Linked DNA regions of Medicago truncatula. The protein of the gene in region 1 interacts with the protein of each later gene in a pairwise test. Links are inferred from orthologs where the notes say so. Each region holds a gene or a part of one and is shown in the gene's direction. Other genes may lie near its edges.

Region 1 (7,936 bases):
AATGCTTCCGTTTGGTGGAAGATTTAGTGAAGCTAGAAGACTTTGGTGGAGCACAAGGTTGGTTCAATTCGGAGGTTTTCCGGAAAGTAGGTAATGATTTCAAAACTAGTTTTTGGAAGGATATTTGGCGTGGAGGAGGGAGTTTTGCTCAAAAATATCCTAGACTTTTTTCAATTTCAACCCAAAAGGAGGCTACGGTGGGAGAAATAGGGGCGGCTTCGGGGGTAGGAACGGATTGGAATTTTAATTGGAGAAGACAACTCTTTGTGTGGGAGGAGGAGTTGTTTACTAGCCTTCGGGAAGATTTAGAGGGTATGGTTTGGTCTAATGAGGAGGATGAGTGGAGATGGAAATTAGAAGATAATGGTTTTTTCTCGGTGAAGTCGGCATATTTGAAGTTGGAGGGAGTGGTGTTGAAGGAAGATTTGTGGGATGAAGAGGAAAGAGGGGTGTTTGATCAATTATGGAAGAGTCCAGCGCCGTCGAAAGTGATTGCATTTACTTGGAAGGTACTCCTTAATCGTATCCCAACTAGAGTTAATCTTGCCTTGAGGAATGTTCTACCACCGGATGCCTCAAACTTGTGTGTGTTGTGTAATTTGAAGGAAGAATCGGCCATACATCTTCTCTTGCACTGCGAAGTGGCGTCTAAGGTGTGGCTAAATATTATGTTGTGGTTGGAGGTCTTGTTCTTAATTCCATCTAATTTCTTTGTGCATTGGGAGTGTTGGAGTGTGGGGAAAGAAATAAAAAAGTAACTAAAGGACTATGGTTAATTTGGCACACAACCATGTGGACTTTGTGGAAAGCGAGAAATGACAAAATCTTTAAGGGTATTAGTAGAGTGGTGGATGACATAGTTGAGGAGATTAAGGTTTTGTCTTGGAGATGGATGTTGAATAGGACGAATAACCCGCCATGCCTTTTCTATGAATGGTGTTGGAATCCAAGATATTGTCTTGCTAGATGATAGTTTGGTCCTTGGGTGCGGTGTATTTCGTGAGGTAGAAGCTTTTGGTTTGGGATTCCTATGCAGGTTGGTTTGTGCAGCTTTTGAGGACTTTGGGTGTGTTTCGGTTTTGGATAGTTTTTGCTGTTACTTGTTGGATTTGTCTTCCACGAGTACTGTGAGGCTTGTGTGCAGTTTTGGCTAGTTGGTTTGTGCGGCTGCCACTTTCAATTTTCTGTTTTCATGTTACTTCGGCATCTTGCTGCTGAAGTATATTGATTGGTGAGGCAGGGGTATGCTTGGGTGTCAGTGCTCTTTGGCTTGTCTGCTTGTATAGCTTTGGTGCGGTGCTAGGAGGTCTGTGCGCTACCTGGTTTTGTGGCAGCAGTGCTGTTGTATGTTTTAACAGCTGGGGCGAGACGTATCAGTTGGCTGGTGGTTGTTTGCTTGCCAGGTTTTGGCTGTTATTAGTAGTTTCGGCGGCCTTTGGTGTTGATGCAGGGGTATGCTTGTGGTCTGTCACTTGTATATGCCTGCGTCATTACTCTTGTGGTGTGTTCCTTAGTTTATGGGTGGTTTTTAAAGGGATTTTTGTTCGAGCCGGAGTTTGTATGGCAACTGATTTCCCCTTCTTTGTATTTTTTCTCCACCCGAGCTTATTAGTGCGTCTTGCACGGGCTTGTTGGTTAATAATATTTTGCCGATTCAAAAAAAAAAAACTCTGCAAACACCTCCTTCATTGTTGTTATTTGTTGGAAGTATAAATTCAATGCAGCTTTTTGTTCTTACTTAACTTACCTTAAAAGTTTTAGGGAACATGCAATAGTCTGTCTATGCACATTTGACAACTTTGCCCATGAATATCTCATGGTTCATTGACAGTACACTCAAACTTTTATCAGCAACCTGTGATGTTGCAATGAAGTCAGCGACAATATATAAATTTTCAGAATGAATGGCACCAGTTATTCCAATAAACTCAAATGAGATTTATAAATTGCATTTTCCCCCTTTATCACATTTAGCAGGCACAAACGAGGTAAAACACTTCAAACATTTTGGCTAGATCCAAACTCAAAACATTATTGATGATATGATGCTATTGTATAAATTAAGCATTGTGTCTTAAGAATGGTTTTTGGGATAAAGAAGGGTTATGAGATTCCTATCTAAGCAGAATTGTCTTTGTATGTACAAGGTGGTTACAAGTTGATGAAAAAAGTTTTTTTAAGTGCAATTAATTTGATAGATTTCGCGTAAAACACAGGTTTACCATAGTTTTTTTAATTGAATTTTTTAATAAATTTCATCAAATAGTGAAATTACTGTTGTATATTAGTGACGTTTTATAGATTTCATGAAATTTTAAAAAATCATTTTTACTAAATTTTGTATCTTTTTTTCTTTCTTTCTTCTAAGCAAAGATGTAGGGACGACATCAAGAGGCAACATAAACGTCCAAACTAGGTTGGTACCCAACTAAAACCTCTATTATCTACCACATACTCTATAAATATTATTAAAAAAAAAAGAGAAAATAATATGTACAAGAGGGGGGGCTAGGCCAAGATCCTCAGAAAGAATAAGCGTGCAACCATGAAACTAAGGAAACCGATAGTTCAACAACTTATACGATCACGGAAAAAATCAGCCAACAAAGACGAAGGCATGGAGTCTAACCAAACAGTACCCACAACCGCATGTCCATACTCAACTAATTTATCTGCACAACAGTTTCCCTCACGATAAATTTGAGAGCATATAGCCTGGAGACCCAAATGAAAACAGTTATGCCAATGGTTCCGAAGACGGAAAGGAACAATATCAGCATTCTTAAAGGCCTGAACCGCAGAAGTCGAATCACTTTCTATCCAAATATTGTGCCAAGAATGAGAAGCCACATATTCCAAAGCAAGAATAATACCTATCAGCTTCGCCTAAAAAGCAGACAAATCACCAAGATTGCTTGCAAAATCACCAAGATTTCTATCCAAATATTGTGATATGATATATGATGATGTTTATACAATGATGATATGACAATGTTGTTGATTTTATTTGTCGAGTCATGATGTGATGTTCATGCATTCATGGTCTGTCCTATTTGACGACGAATATTTGACGATGAGTGGATTAATCAGTAATATGCTTATGATTATCCAAATATTTGACGATGAGGTATCACTCAAATACATACCTCTGATATTCAAAAACGGTACCACATGCATATAGAGTCAAGTTAGGGACATTACATGTGAGTCTATGCGAAAGATGTGTACTTGACTATGTGTGACTATTTGAAAAATGTGTGATTCGACAATGGCAATGATGTGTGAATGCAATGTGTTCAACTTGACGATTATTTGATGATGTGATTACATGTTTATAATCTTGTGATGATGATTGAAGTTTGTTATACCGACTTAGTGAATTGTATGAGAACTAATATAATATGAATATACATGTTTATAATCTTGTGATGATGATTGACATTTGCTGCGGGTTGGACGTATAGTTGCTGTGAGTTTTCGAGGATGGCTTTGAAGCATTCTTTTACCGCTTCCTTTTGGAGTCTTGACTAGTGGTGCTCTTATTAGGACTGTTGGGATTTTATTTATGTTATTAGATTATGTTTTGAGGATGTATTTTTCGATGTGACGTGTTATTTACATGATGAACTATGTATGGATTGTAACGAAGAGTAACACCTTGAAGGACAGAATCAGTATAAATTGATTTGTGTCTTTCTTCTCTCTCTGACTCTTTATCTTTAATCTGCATGTTATTTATTTCCGCTGCATTCAGACTCTGAGTCAGAATATGAAACATCAGATTTTGTCCAGATTTGTTCTTAACACCTTACAAGAAGAAACGACTCACACAATTCAACCCACCTTCTTGTGTGTTTTTCTCACCTTCATGATGTAGATGACAATATTGGAAGAAAAAAAAAAGGATAAAAAAATGGAACAATTTTAAACCATCACATGATAAATTTTGGACCATTTTACCCATTGAAATTTTTTTGGTTAAACTGTAAAAAAAATAAAAATTAGGAGGGGACAGTTATATAAATGAAGAAGTTGTTAGATTGGCTCCGTCTACGATGGGAGACTTGAATAGGTCTTCTAATATAGGAGACATGGTTTTTTTCTTCCTTTAAAATGAATATGAACCATATGATAAGGGTTGGATCAAATTCCTTAATATACATTTCCATCACTCAACTGCTTTCTTTTATTTTAAATTAGTGTATTTATCTGACGTTGTTCGGTTTATACTTATAATTAAGGACGACCAAAATTTTGTATGCAACGTATCTGCATATAAATTTACCACGAGCTGGTATAAGACCAATATCTTAATGAGTAAGCACGAATAAAAAAAAAAATTCATATTTTAAGTACTCGTAAATTTATAGATGCACATGCAGATGATATTTATAGAATTTAGTAAAAACAAAAATTGACACATTGGATTTAGTAAAATTATTAACACATGTAAAATAAAATAAATATTTTTTAAGTTCATGGACTCGTATAAATTTATACTCGTTATTAAATTAGTAAAATTATACGACTGCCGTATTACTTAAATAAAAAACTTCTCGTCATGAAATAAAAATATGTAATTTTGTAACAAAACTTATTTTTCTATCTAGCATAAACATCTCAACAATCCACATCGGCTTCGTCCAAATATTTTATATGTTTGTTTTTATTTCATGAGAAGATTTTTATTTTATATAAAATATAAAAATATTTATTTTATTCAATATGTGTTACAAATATTTTAAAGGAATATGTGTAACCAAAAAAAGAGGAATTGTTGTGACAACCACTTTTCACCTCATTTTATTGGATAAAAACAATAGAAAGAAAGAAGAAGAGAAATAATAAAAATATATGTAAATATAAGAAAGATGTTGTTTCAAAAGTTGTCAAAAAAATAGATGTACAAATATTGTTTCTCAATATTTTATCACCAAGTTGAATTCTCTCGGCTCTTTTTCCATCAGAAACGAGCACTGAACTCAAATAGCCGGAGTTGCTTGTAGCCGCCGGCGATCACATCTCTCACGGCCAAGTCCACCGCTCTATATTCATCTCTCACTCACTCAACCTTCATTTTCGTTTTATTCTTCCAATCAAGTAAGTTCATCGATTTTGATTTTGGGTGATTTTTTTCTTTCTCAAATGCAACTTTTGTTGTTGAGTTAATGTGGATTTTTATGCGTTATTTATGCATTGAAAAGATTAGATTTCATCTATTGGCTTAGGATGAATGAATTTTTGCATGCATTTCACTTGTTGCCTTTTAGGTGTTTGATAAATTGTCCTAAGTGGTGTTATGTGAATCTTTGATAGAGTAGACTGAATTTTTTGTAATCTTGTGTGGCTGTGAAGATAAATACACTAGAATAAAAGAAAGTAATTGAGTGTTGAAGATATATAATAAGTATTTTGATCCAACCCTTATCTAAGCAAAGTGAATTCGGTAATGCTGCGGAATAACACATCGGCTGAGTTCATTTTCGCATTGTTACAAGAACTGTCTCATGCTCAAGCTGAGCTATTTGCTTCGGTATTGTGGAGTTTGTGGAAAAGCCGTAACCTACAACTATGGCAGAATGAAGTAGAGACATTGCAGGCCATTGTTGCACGCGCACAGAAGCTGTTGGTCAACTGGCGTGTAGCAAACAGCAAGCGACAGCAAGGTGGAATGACTGGCAGGTCTGCTGATCCGATTACAGATGTGCAGCAGTCAAAATTTGTGTCCAGCAGTGTGCAGATTGGGCAGAATCGATGGCAGAAACCAATCATGGCAGGCTAAAGTGCAACATTGATGCGTCGTTTTCGGAAGCTTTAAATTGTGTAGGATTTGGATTCTGCATCAGGAATGAATTTGGAGAATTTATTCGAGCAAGAACAATGTGGTCGAATCCTGTTTGTCCGTCGGATGTTGGAGAAGCTTTGGGACTTTCATACGCCATCCGTTGGGTGCATGAACTGCAACTCAATAATGTTGATTTTGAATTGGATGCCAAGACGGTTGTAGATTATTTTAATTGAGGTTGCAATGATATATCCGAGTTTGGAGCAATAATTGACGAGTATCGGAGAAATCGTGATATGTATCTAGAAAACTCCATGGTAGAGTTTAGTCGGAGACAAGCGAATGAGGTCGCTCACACTCTTGCACGAGAGGCCACTTTCTTAGCTAGTCCCCATACTTTTAATGATGTACCTCATTGTATTACGACGTTGATTTTTAATCAAAAGCTATAAGCTATTTTCCTTCAAAAAAAAAAAAGTATTTTGATCCAACCCTTATCCAATGGTTCATATTCATTTAAAAAAAATGTCTCCTACAGCCCTACCGTAAACGGAGCCCATTAGATTTCATATAGCCACACCTGATGATTATTGCCCGATTTTTTAAAAATAAAAGAAAAAAATCAAACGACACTGCATACTCTCTTCTTCTCACTCTCTCTTACAACCAGTGTGTCACCACTAGTCACAGCTAATTCTCTCTCAGTTGTCATTATTCACTCTAAGGTAAGCCAATTGATTTTCCAATTTCTTGTTTTAGTGTTTCAAAATTGGGAATTGGAAATGAAATTTTGTTATGACCAAGTTGTTTGTTAGTTAGAATTGGAATTTCGGAATGTTAAAAAATTGATGCTTTTGTTTCATGTAATTGGATTGGATATCAGCTGTTTGTTCAAATGTCTGAATGCATTTTCCTTTTTGCTTCATATCGGTTTTTATGTTATTATTTTGACACACAGAAGAAGGCAGATCATGGGAACATCAGTGCAAGTAACACCACTTTGTGGAGTTTACAATGAAAACCCTCTCTCTTATTTGGTTTCCATTGATTCTTTCAACATCCTCATCGACTGTGGTTGGAATGACCACTTCGACCCTTCACTCCTTCAACCCCTTTCCAGGGTAGCATCAACTATAGATGCTGTTTTACTTTCACATCCTGATACACTTCACCTTGCCGCCTTACCATATGCCATTAAGCATCTTGGACTTTCTGCTCCTGTTTATTCAACTGAGCCTGTTTATAGATTGGGACTTCTCACTATGTATGACCACTTCCTCTCCAGAAAGCAAGTGTCCGACTTTGATCTCTTCACTCTAGATGATATTGATTCTGCTTTCCAAACTGTAACAAGGCTAACATACTCTCAGAATCATCATCTCTCAGGTAACAATAACATAACACCTTCCTCAATTTATTATGTGTTTGTTACCATCAATGACATTCATTTTAACCAATACTAGGAAAGGGAGAGGGAATCGTCATTGCACCACATACTGCTGGACATCTTTTGGGAGGTACGATATGGAAAATTACAAAGGATGGTGAGGATGTCATATATGCTGTTGATTTCAATCATAGGAAAGAAAGGTAAATTATTTTTTTACTTCTCCAAAATTTAACGTGCATATTCTTAACGACAAGAAAGTAAGCTACTTATCAATCTAATTTTCACTAGGCATTTGAACGGAACTGTTCTAGGTTCTTTTGTTCGCCCGGCTGTTCTAATAACCGATGCTTATAATGCTTTGAATAATCAGCCTTACAGACGTCAAAAGGACAAAGAATTTGGAGGTAACTAACATTTAAATCTTATAATTGCTACACCTTGACAGAAATAAGGTGAATTTTTCATTTTTTGTTTTCTTGAGTTGCTATTAAGAGAAAACTGAAATATTTTTATGCCTGGGATATTCAAAGACAAGGCATGCAAGCATTAAAAAGTCTTCATCACGAAACGAGAAAACTGTCTAGACTATATACTTTGTTTTTTCTGATCATATATCTTGTTGATTATTTAGATATCTTAAAGAAGACTCTAAGGGCAGGTGGCAATGTGTTACTACCTGTTGACACTGCTGGACGAATATTGGAACTTATTCTGATGCTGGAATCGGTCAGTACAAGAAAAGACTTACACTTATATTCTCT
Region 2 (7,636 bases), on another chromosome or scaffold:
ACGCATTATTTGACTAATTACCTTGAATACTTCTGATTGCACCGCACCTCCTAGCTAGAGTGGAGCAGGAAAATGATACAAAATTTCATCAATGAGAGTTGTTACTATATTGTCTTGGCAGCTTATACCAATTTGATTTAAACATCAATGAATGTTGACATAGACTATGAATATTTTGAGGCTAACACTTAAAATCTCAAATATTTTCATTACAGGTGAAAAGAAAAGAAATTATACAAAATGAATTATTGGTATGCTTCACACGGCAAAGCTAATACATTTGTATTGCTAATTCATATCTGCAATTCAAACCAATTTTTTCCAAACTCATTGTATTCTTATTTGTTTGAGGTTGATAATTGTGGTATGCCATAACTTGGTTATGGTAAGCATGTAATCTATTGTGCTGTTTTGCACACTCTTGTACTATTTCTCTTGACAATTCACCGAATGTTTTTATTTTTCTAGGTAATCCATGATAGGGGTAGTGACATTATTATCAGGGCAGTGAATGCGGCTGCGGCAGCTCGTGAATACCGTCTTCAAAGATGGAGTGCATATTTGGACAAGTGCAATATGGCTTGTATTCCCTAACCAAATATAATAGGTCAAGTTCATACTTGAGAGTTCATTTGTTTCATTTTTGTGTTGTGACTCTGAGAGATGTTTCATTTTTCAGTCTTTCATAAGTAGCATCCTAACATGGATATGCAGTACTGGAATTTTGTTTAATTTATATAATATTTCAAATTTTGTTAGAATTATTCATTCATCGCTTTCATTTTAATCTAATAGGTTATTGGTCCACGTGGGATCAACTACCATTTAGGAGTAATATCTACCGATGAGTTTGGGTCTGTTCTTGAAATATGTTACAATTATTCATGACTATATGCAAAAAAATGCAGCAACATACACCTGACAAAGCCATATCATATCGAACGCAAGTTTGGAGATGAATAATCTGAACTTCACATCCAAGCATTATGTGTGCAGCAATATAAAACACTAAATCATGGTAACCAAATGCTGACAACAACAAAATATTATGAATTGACAAACAAACAAGCAAAATTACATTTTCAATTTTGAATTATTACCATTATAATTTTAAAATATAAAGTTTGTGAATTCATAAAGTATGTTTGGAAATTCATAGTCATAGTGTCATTGTGAGATGGATTTGGATCAAAGCTTGGAGAATTATTGCGTTGCGTTAAAATTGCTAAGAGACTTAAGAATTTTCGATGGGATGCAAAACTAATACGCCTCAATTTAAGTATGGATCACGTTCTCGAGTATAGAGATAGAAGTTAGACTTAAAGGAAAATATTATTATTATTCTTTTTGAAATTTCAAACTGGCACACCAAATTTGGCACGGGGAGAATCTGAAACCTTGAAAGGAGCACATTCTAAGGTCGCAAGTCAGCACCATCAGACCAACCCAAGTGGATCTAAAAGAAAGGAAATTGATTATATTTTTCATTGATTTTAATCATGAAGCATTACAATGCTTATATAAGTTAGTGCGTACTCATAACAGATAACTATAAAAACTGCAGAATAGCAATGCTAAGTAGCTAACAATACAAATATGCCTAGAAGATCCTATCAATAAGATAAACTATAGCTAAGTCATCATTCTCTTACCCTCAAGATCCTGTCAAAAGGCTATGTAAAGAAGAGGCATTCCTAGCTGAAAAGCTTCTAAATGTAGACAAAAAAAAAAAAGACCAAATCAGCTAAAAAATTGAAAACTTGTGTAGAATCAGTAAGTCTGCTAAAATCCATATACTATGTTGTGAAATTAATTGCAATAAATAAGTTATTGCTTAAAAAAAAAATTAAAATATTATCTAGATGTTTCATTGTATATATCATCAATATTAAATTATCTTTGTTTTTTTTTGGTAGTGTTGCATTATCTTATTTAAGAGAGTAAAGATAGTTACATGGTTAATTACATTGCCTAATCTTGCAATGTTGGGGAAACAAGGTTGGAAGTTATGACTAACCCGAGTTATGTTTGATGTAGCATTTGGTCTTCCTAAACGTTGTTAGAGGAAGGCTACCAGTGGTAGATTGGGGATGGTAGGAGTCTGGTGAAATTCTTGGCTGCGGTGTGTTGAGGAGCCTTTTATAAAGACAGCTGAACCAAGTGAAGCTCAAGGTATTGCTGTGAGCCATATCATTGAGAACAATGATGGAGCGTGGAATGGACACTATCATTGCGGGTCCATTTTAATATAATCAAATTTTGAATAGATATTTTTCGTTATTTTTTATTCACAATTTCATTAACATATAGTTTTAAACCCTATTATAAAATATGAAACAACTCAAAATAAAATTAAAATATGTGGAAAATTACTAAAGCAATACTAAGAGATGTGTGGATAGCATTGTGTACCATTAAGATATCGATGTTGTATAAAATTGGCCAATTAGGTTCCAAAATAATACTTTTAGATAATTTGGAGCAAAGGAAAAATAAAAATTTGGAAAAATATTTATTAGAAAATAAAGTATCTCAGAGATTGAATTTTTCGAAGTTAATTTTTTACACCACATGACCTAAGGTCCTGAATACGCCACTGACCATATTTATGGTATAAATAGACTCCACCTAATATTCATATCACTCGTTCAAAACTTTAAAATTGACTCCACTTATCTCACAATATACTCCAAAACTATATTTTATATCATTATTTTACATTAAAAAGCTTTTGAAAAAAATTTAAAAGGATGAAGGCCCCCATTGCCAAGGTTGGAAACCTGGTAAATTAAAGCCACCACACTTTATGTTAAATATTTATGATTCTCTGACAATAAGGCAAAAGTTTGCAAAGATGCTCTAATGATCCTCTCCATTTATAAAAAAAATAAATACAGCATGTTATTTAGAAAAAGATACACATAAAAAAAAGATCGTGGATCTTTACCAAGCATAACTAGGCACATGCAAATACTTGGGGCTACCATCTATGATCAGAAGAAGCAAACAACATTTGGCTACATCAAGGATCAAATTTGGCAAAGAATAAATTCATGGAGTAATAAATTCTCATCGAAGGCGGGTCAAGAGGTAATGATAAAGTATGTTTTACAAGTCATATGTAATGAGTATTTTTCTTCTTTCGAAAACATTGATAGACGTTGTTTAAAAAAAATGATGAATGCATTCTGGTGGGGACATGTTGGAGCAACTAACAGGGGAATTCATTGGATGTCATGGGAGAAATTGTGAGTTCACAATTTCTTTAGTGGTACATGGTTCAAGGACCTCACCTTTTTCAATGTTGCGATGCTCAATAAACAAGTGTGGAAACTTCAGTCTAATGTGCATAGCCTAGCTTGGGTCACATATCTGTTAAGGATCATTATTTTCCAACTTTTGATTTCTTTGGGGCTAAAATAGGTACCAGACCGAGTTATGTTTCGCATAGCATACTTAGTGTAAAAGATGTGGTGTAAAGAGACGCAAGGTGCACTATTGGCACATGTAATAATATCCCTTTGATGGACCAACCTTGGTTAGCCTCCGGTGATAGTAATTAGGCCATACACACATGTAATGCACAATTTCTTTCTATTATGTGTTAGTGAACTAATAGATCAGATATCAAAATTGTGGAAAAAAACCTCTTGTTAATTATTTGTTTGATCTTCACACCGCCACTCAGATCTTAAATACACCTCTTTTCCCGCAAGTTACTAATGATAGTTTGGTATGACAATGTAAGAAAAACGATTGCTATTATGTTCGTAGTGCTTACAGAATCTGTTCATAAGTTATTCAAACATGAGAAGATCCGAATAATTCCATATGGAAACTCAAGGTACCGCCAAAAGTGAAAAACCTTGTGTGGAGAGTATGTCGTGATTGCTTTCCTACTCGTGTACGACTCAACAATAGAGATGTTGCATGTTCTTCAGAATGTGTTATGTGCATTGATACTGACGAGGATTATTTACATGCTATTTTTACTTGTTCTCAAGCGTCGCAAGTTTGGCAAGCTGCGAACCTAAGGAATATTGCAGATAATGTCGTAAATGAGTTTGATAATAAGACGTCAATTGTATTGTATTTACTAGATCAACTTCAACCGTCATAGTGTTCTTTATTTACATAAGTCTCTTATAGTATTTGGAAGCGGCGTAACTTGCCACCAAGACCGAGTACTATTAACAGGGTTCAATGTCAGAGTCCCACGTAGACAAGAATATAATGTTGATGGTTCCTTCTTTACATCCCATAGTAAGGTTGGTATCATTATGCGTATTCGAGATGTATACAGGGGTTATATGCTTTCTAAAACAACATTGTTTACACCGTGGACCAATTAAACGTTAGCTCCAAATTATTATGGTCTTGTAGTGACATCTTTTTTTGGTGGTGGTCAGAGTTCGAACCCCGAACCTTGCATATTTTATGCATTGTCTATACCAACTGAGTTAAACTCACGTGGACGTCTTGTAGTGACATCTAATGAGATGCAATGTTTTCTTAAAAAAAAAAAAAAAAAAAGAGATGAGATGAATTTTTCCATGTAAAAAAAAAATTGTTGAAAAAAAACTACAACGCACGCACAATCCATTTGTAGTTAAATTAAAACGGCGTCGTCTGCGGTTAGTTTTTTCTTTCTCTCTCATCATCACTCTTTCCTTCCCGCTCCAGATTCATCGTTCTACCTCAATCCCAACCACAATTTTGGGGTTTAGGGTTTTTCTCCCCACACTGCTCTTCAATCCCAAATCCTCATTCTTCCAACACCATAGTTAGTTACAATGATGTACAATGACCCTCATAACCCTCAACACCAACAACACCAACAGCACCAGCAGCAACAGCAACAACAACAACAACAGTATCAGCAACACCAGCAGCAGCAGCAGCCTCCGCATTTTCACCATCAGCAGCAGCAGCAGCAGTCAGGTCCCGGTCCGGATTTCCACCGTGGACCTCCGCCGCCGATGCCTCAACAACCTCCGCCTATGATGCGCCAACCTTCCGCTTCTTCGACGAATCTCGGATCGGAGTTTCTTCCTGGTGGTCCCCCTGGTCCCCCTGGTCCTCCTCCTCATTACGATGGTTTGATTTTTCTTCTTTTTGTTGTTTTTATCGAATGAAATTGAATTGAATTGAATTAGAACACATATGCTTGTTAGGGCTGTTTGGATTGACTTATTTGATTTTATCTACTGGCATAAGTTTTTGTGTGATTGTTTGGGTGAATTTATGAAAACAATTTATGACATTGTTCGTAAGCCGTTTTTAGCTTATTTTTATAACTTATGGAGATAGCTTATATGAAAACAATTTAATTTAATTTTATCTTTTGCTATAGAAATAGGTTATACATAAGCGCTTATCAATTATCATGATATCGTCCTGTGCTATAAGCTGTTTATACAAAAAGGGCCTATTTTGTATGATAGTTTGTTGTGATTGCTTATACAGTGCTTTGGTGTGTATATGTGTGTGTGATTTCTAATTATTTGTTTATTATTTTAAAAGAATTGTTTGATTGGTTAAGTAATGCACAAGTTTTCACATCCAAGAGTTGTATCTCTATCTTATTTTTATTTTGTTAGGATTGTAATTTCCTAGTTGATGAGTGGAGTGAAGTAGTGAATTTATTATGAACTTGATTTTTGGACAGAAAGTTTGCGATTAAATGGTTTGGTGGTAAGATGGGCGGAGTAGATGAAATGTGATGCGAGTTTAGTAGCATTTGAGTCAGCAATATTTTAGAGGTTAGGTGAGGTTTGCTTTGGGTAATTGTGTTGGTGTTCCCGCAAGTTGGAGATTTACGTATGATGGATTTAAGTTCTAAAATGATGGGGGTGATTAAAGGGGTATGTTATTATGCTTACGAATTATGATTCAATTTGGGTGATTGAACTAGAAAAATGCTTTAGGTGTAATTTGTGATAACGGGTTGATTATCAATAGAAAGGAAATTGTACTTGACAGGATGTATGTCTGGTGATGCTATATGGTGGGAGTGAAGGGAACTGTTTGTCAGTTGATTGGTGACAACTGACAAGAGCAAAATACAAGTATCACTGTGATGAGAATGCAATTGTTGAGGTGGATATTGTAGGGAAAGATAACATAAGGAACGGACGGGTATTAGGGAAAAAATCGGAGTAGCACATGCCAAGAAAAAATAGTATTAACAATGCCTTAGATGGTTTAGTCATGAGAAGATGACCACTAAGAGTGAGAGGTTTTAACTTTTAAAGCTCATTGGGATCTGCTGAATATGCAGTTTGTTGAATGTTTGCCATAATTTAGTGTACGTGTTTTGGTATGAGTCAATTCTTTGAAACCTTATTTTCTTTGGATGAAATAGTAATATGTTTTTGTATAACCCTTTGCATACATACGGTTATGAGGATTTTTTTCCGTAGGCATTGAGTTGACATGACAGGCTAATTTGTTGAACTTTTGCTTTTGAAACATATTTGTTTCCGCTCTTTGGGACGATAATCCATAATTTGATTTTGCTACTCTTTCCCCTTCAACAGTTATTATTTTATTTATTCAGAACGAAATTATCTTCTACCGCATATATGAGATAGGTCTTGATATGTTAGAAAAATGTCTATGCCCTCACATGTAGTTCAAGGCATTAATATTTATATATCTTCTCCATTGTCTATAAGCTTAGCTAAATTTGTTGAACTTTTATGATTTGGGATATTTTGACTATTGTAATTAAATAGTGAACGGTTTTACTTACAGTTCATAATGATAGCCATGGTGCAAAAAGAATGAGAAAGCTCACTCAAAGGAAGGCAGTTGATTATACGAGCACAGTTGTGCGCTATATGCAGGTAATGATTGCTGCTTTAATAATAGAATCACAGTTAAGTTGGAAATCTGTTTGGTTTGTTCATCTCTATCTGTGTGTAATCCACCTTGGAAATTCATGGGTAATTTGAAATCTTCCTTCAGATTCGTATGTCACAGCGTGATTCCAGAGATAGGACAGTACTTCAACCTACGCCGGCAGCAGCAATTGATGTGAGCGAGCTTCTCTTTTATGTTAATAAGTGTCACGAAACAACTATCAAAAACCTTAAGTTTCAATTGAGTTCACACGAACGATCTTTATATTATATATCTTTCTTAAACCCTCTCATGCAAATTGGGCTTGAGGGGTGGATAAAGCAATGACCCACCACCAACCTTTCACTGAATTGAACTTTTTAAAAGAATGGGTGTCGCAATGGTTGAACAGCAGACAGTTAGTCAATGAGCCTCATGTTAAGAACTAACTGTCCCAAGCGTTCATGCATTTTGATAACTGACACATGAATGAATTTATATTATATCTTTAAGATTAAATTTGAAAATGCTATTTACCTTAATTCCAGAAATGCAGCTTGGTAATTTTTTTGATAAACTATTGTTATAATAATCAACCTATTTCTCTATACTTTAACCTTATGCTATTTTTCATGCAGATGTTGCCAGCAGCTGGCTATTCAGACAATCCATCCACAAGCTTTGCTGCTAAATTTGTTCATACATCTCTAAATAAAAATCGTTGTGCTATTAATTGTGTTCTTGTAAGTTATATAATTTAAATCTTGTGAACATGTGGTTGACATATGTTTTG

Evidence for each region.
Region 2: the proteins of cleavage and polyadenylation specificity factor subunit 2 (region 1) and flowering time control protein FY interact in binary tests that used the Arabidopsis thaliana proteins (3 or more experiments, as listed by UniProt). The link is inferred for Medicago truncatula from reciprocal best matches to the Arabidopsis thaliana genes CPSF100 and FY.

Annotation. Positions count from the first base shown.
Region 1 is NC_053042.1:20,055,636-20,063,571, forward strand, and holds the start of cleavage and polyadenylation specificity factor subunit 2, read left to right. Parts: upstream 1-4,920; 5' UTR 4,921-5,100; intron 5,101-6,743; 5' UTR 6,744-6,756; coding exon 6,757-7,171; intron 7,172-7,248; coding exon 7,249-7,375; intron 7,376-7,463; coding exon 7,464-7,579; intron 7,580-7,806; coding exon 7,807-7,901; intron 7,902-7,936. UniProt on the Arabidopsis thaliana protein: CPSF plays a key role in pre-mRNA 3'-end formation, recognizing the AAUAAA signal sequence and interacting with poly(A)polymerase and other factors to bring about cleavage and poly(A) addition. Required for antisense-RNA-mediated gene silencing.
Region 2 is NC_053049.1:14,642,376-14,650,011, forward strand, and holds the start of flowering time control protein FY, read left to right. Parts: upstream 1-4,627; 5' UTR 4,628-4,793; coding exon 4,794-5,097; intron 5,098-6,756; coding exon 6,757-6,848; intron 6,849-6,969; coding exon 6,970-7,038; intron 7,039-7,481; coding exon 7,482-7,586; intron 7,587-7,636.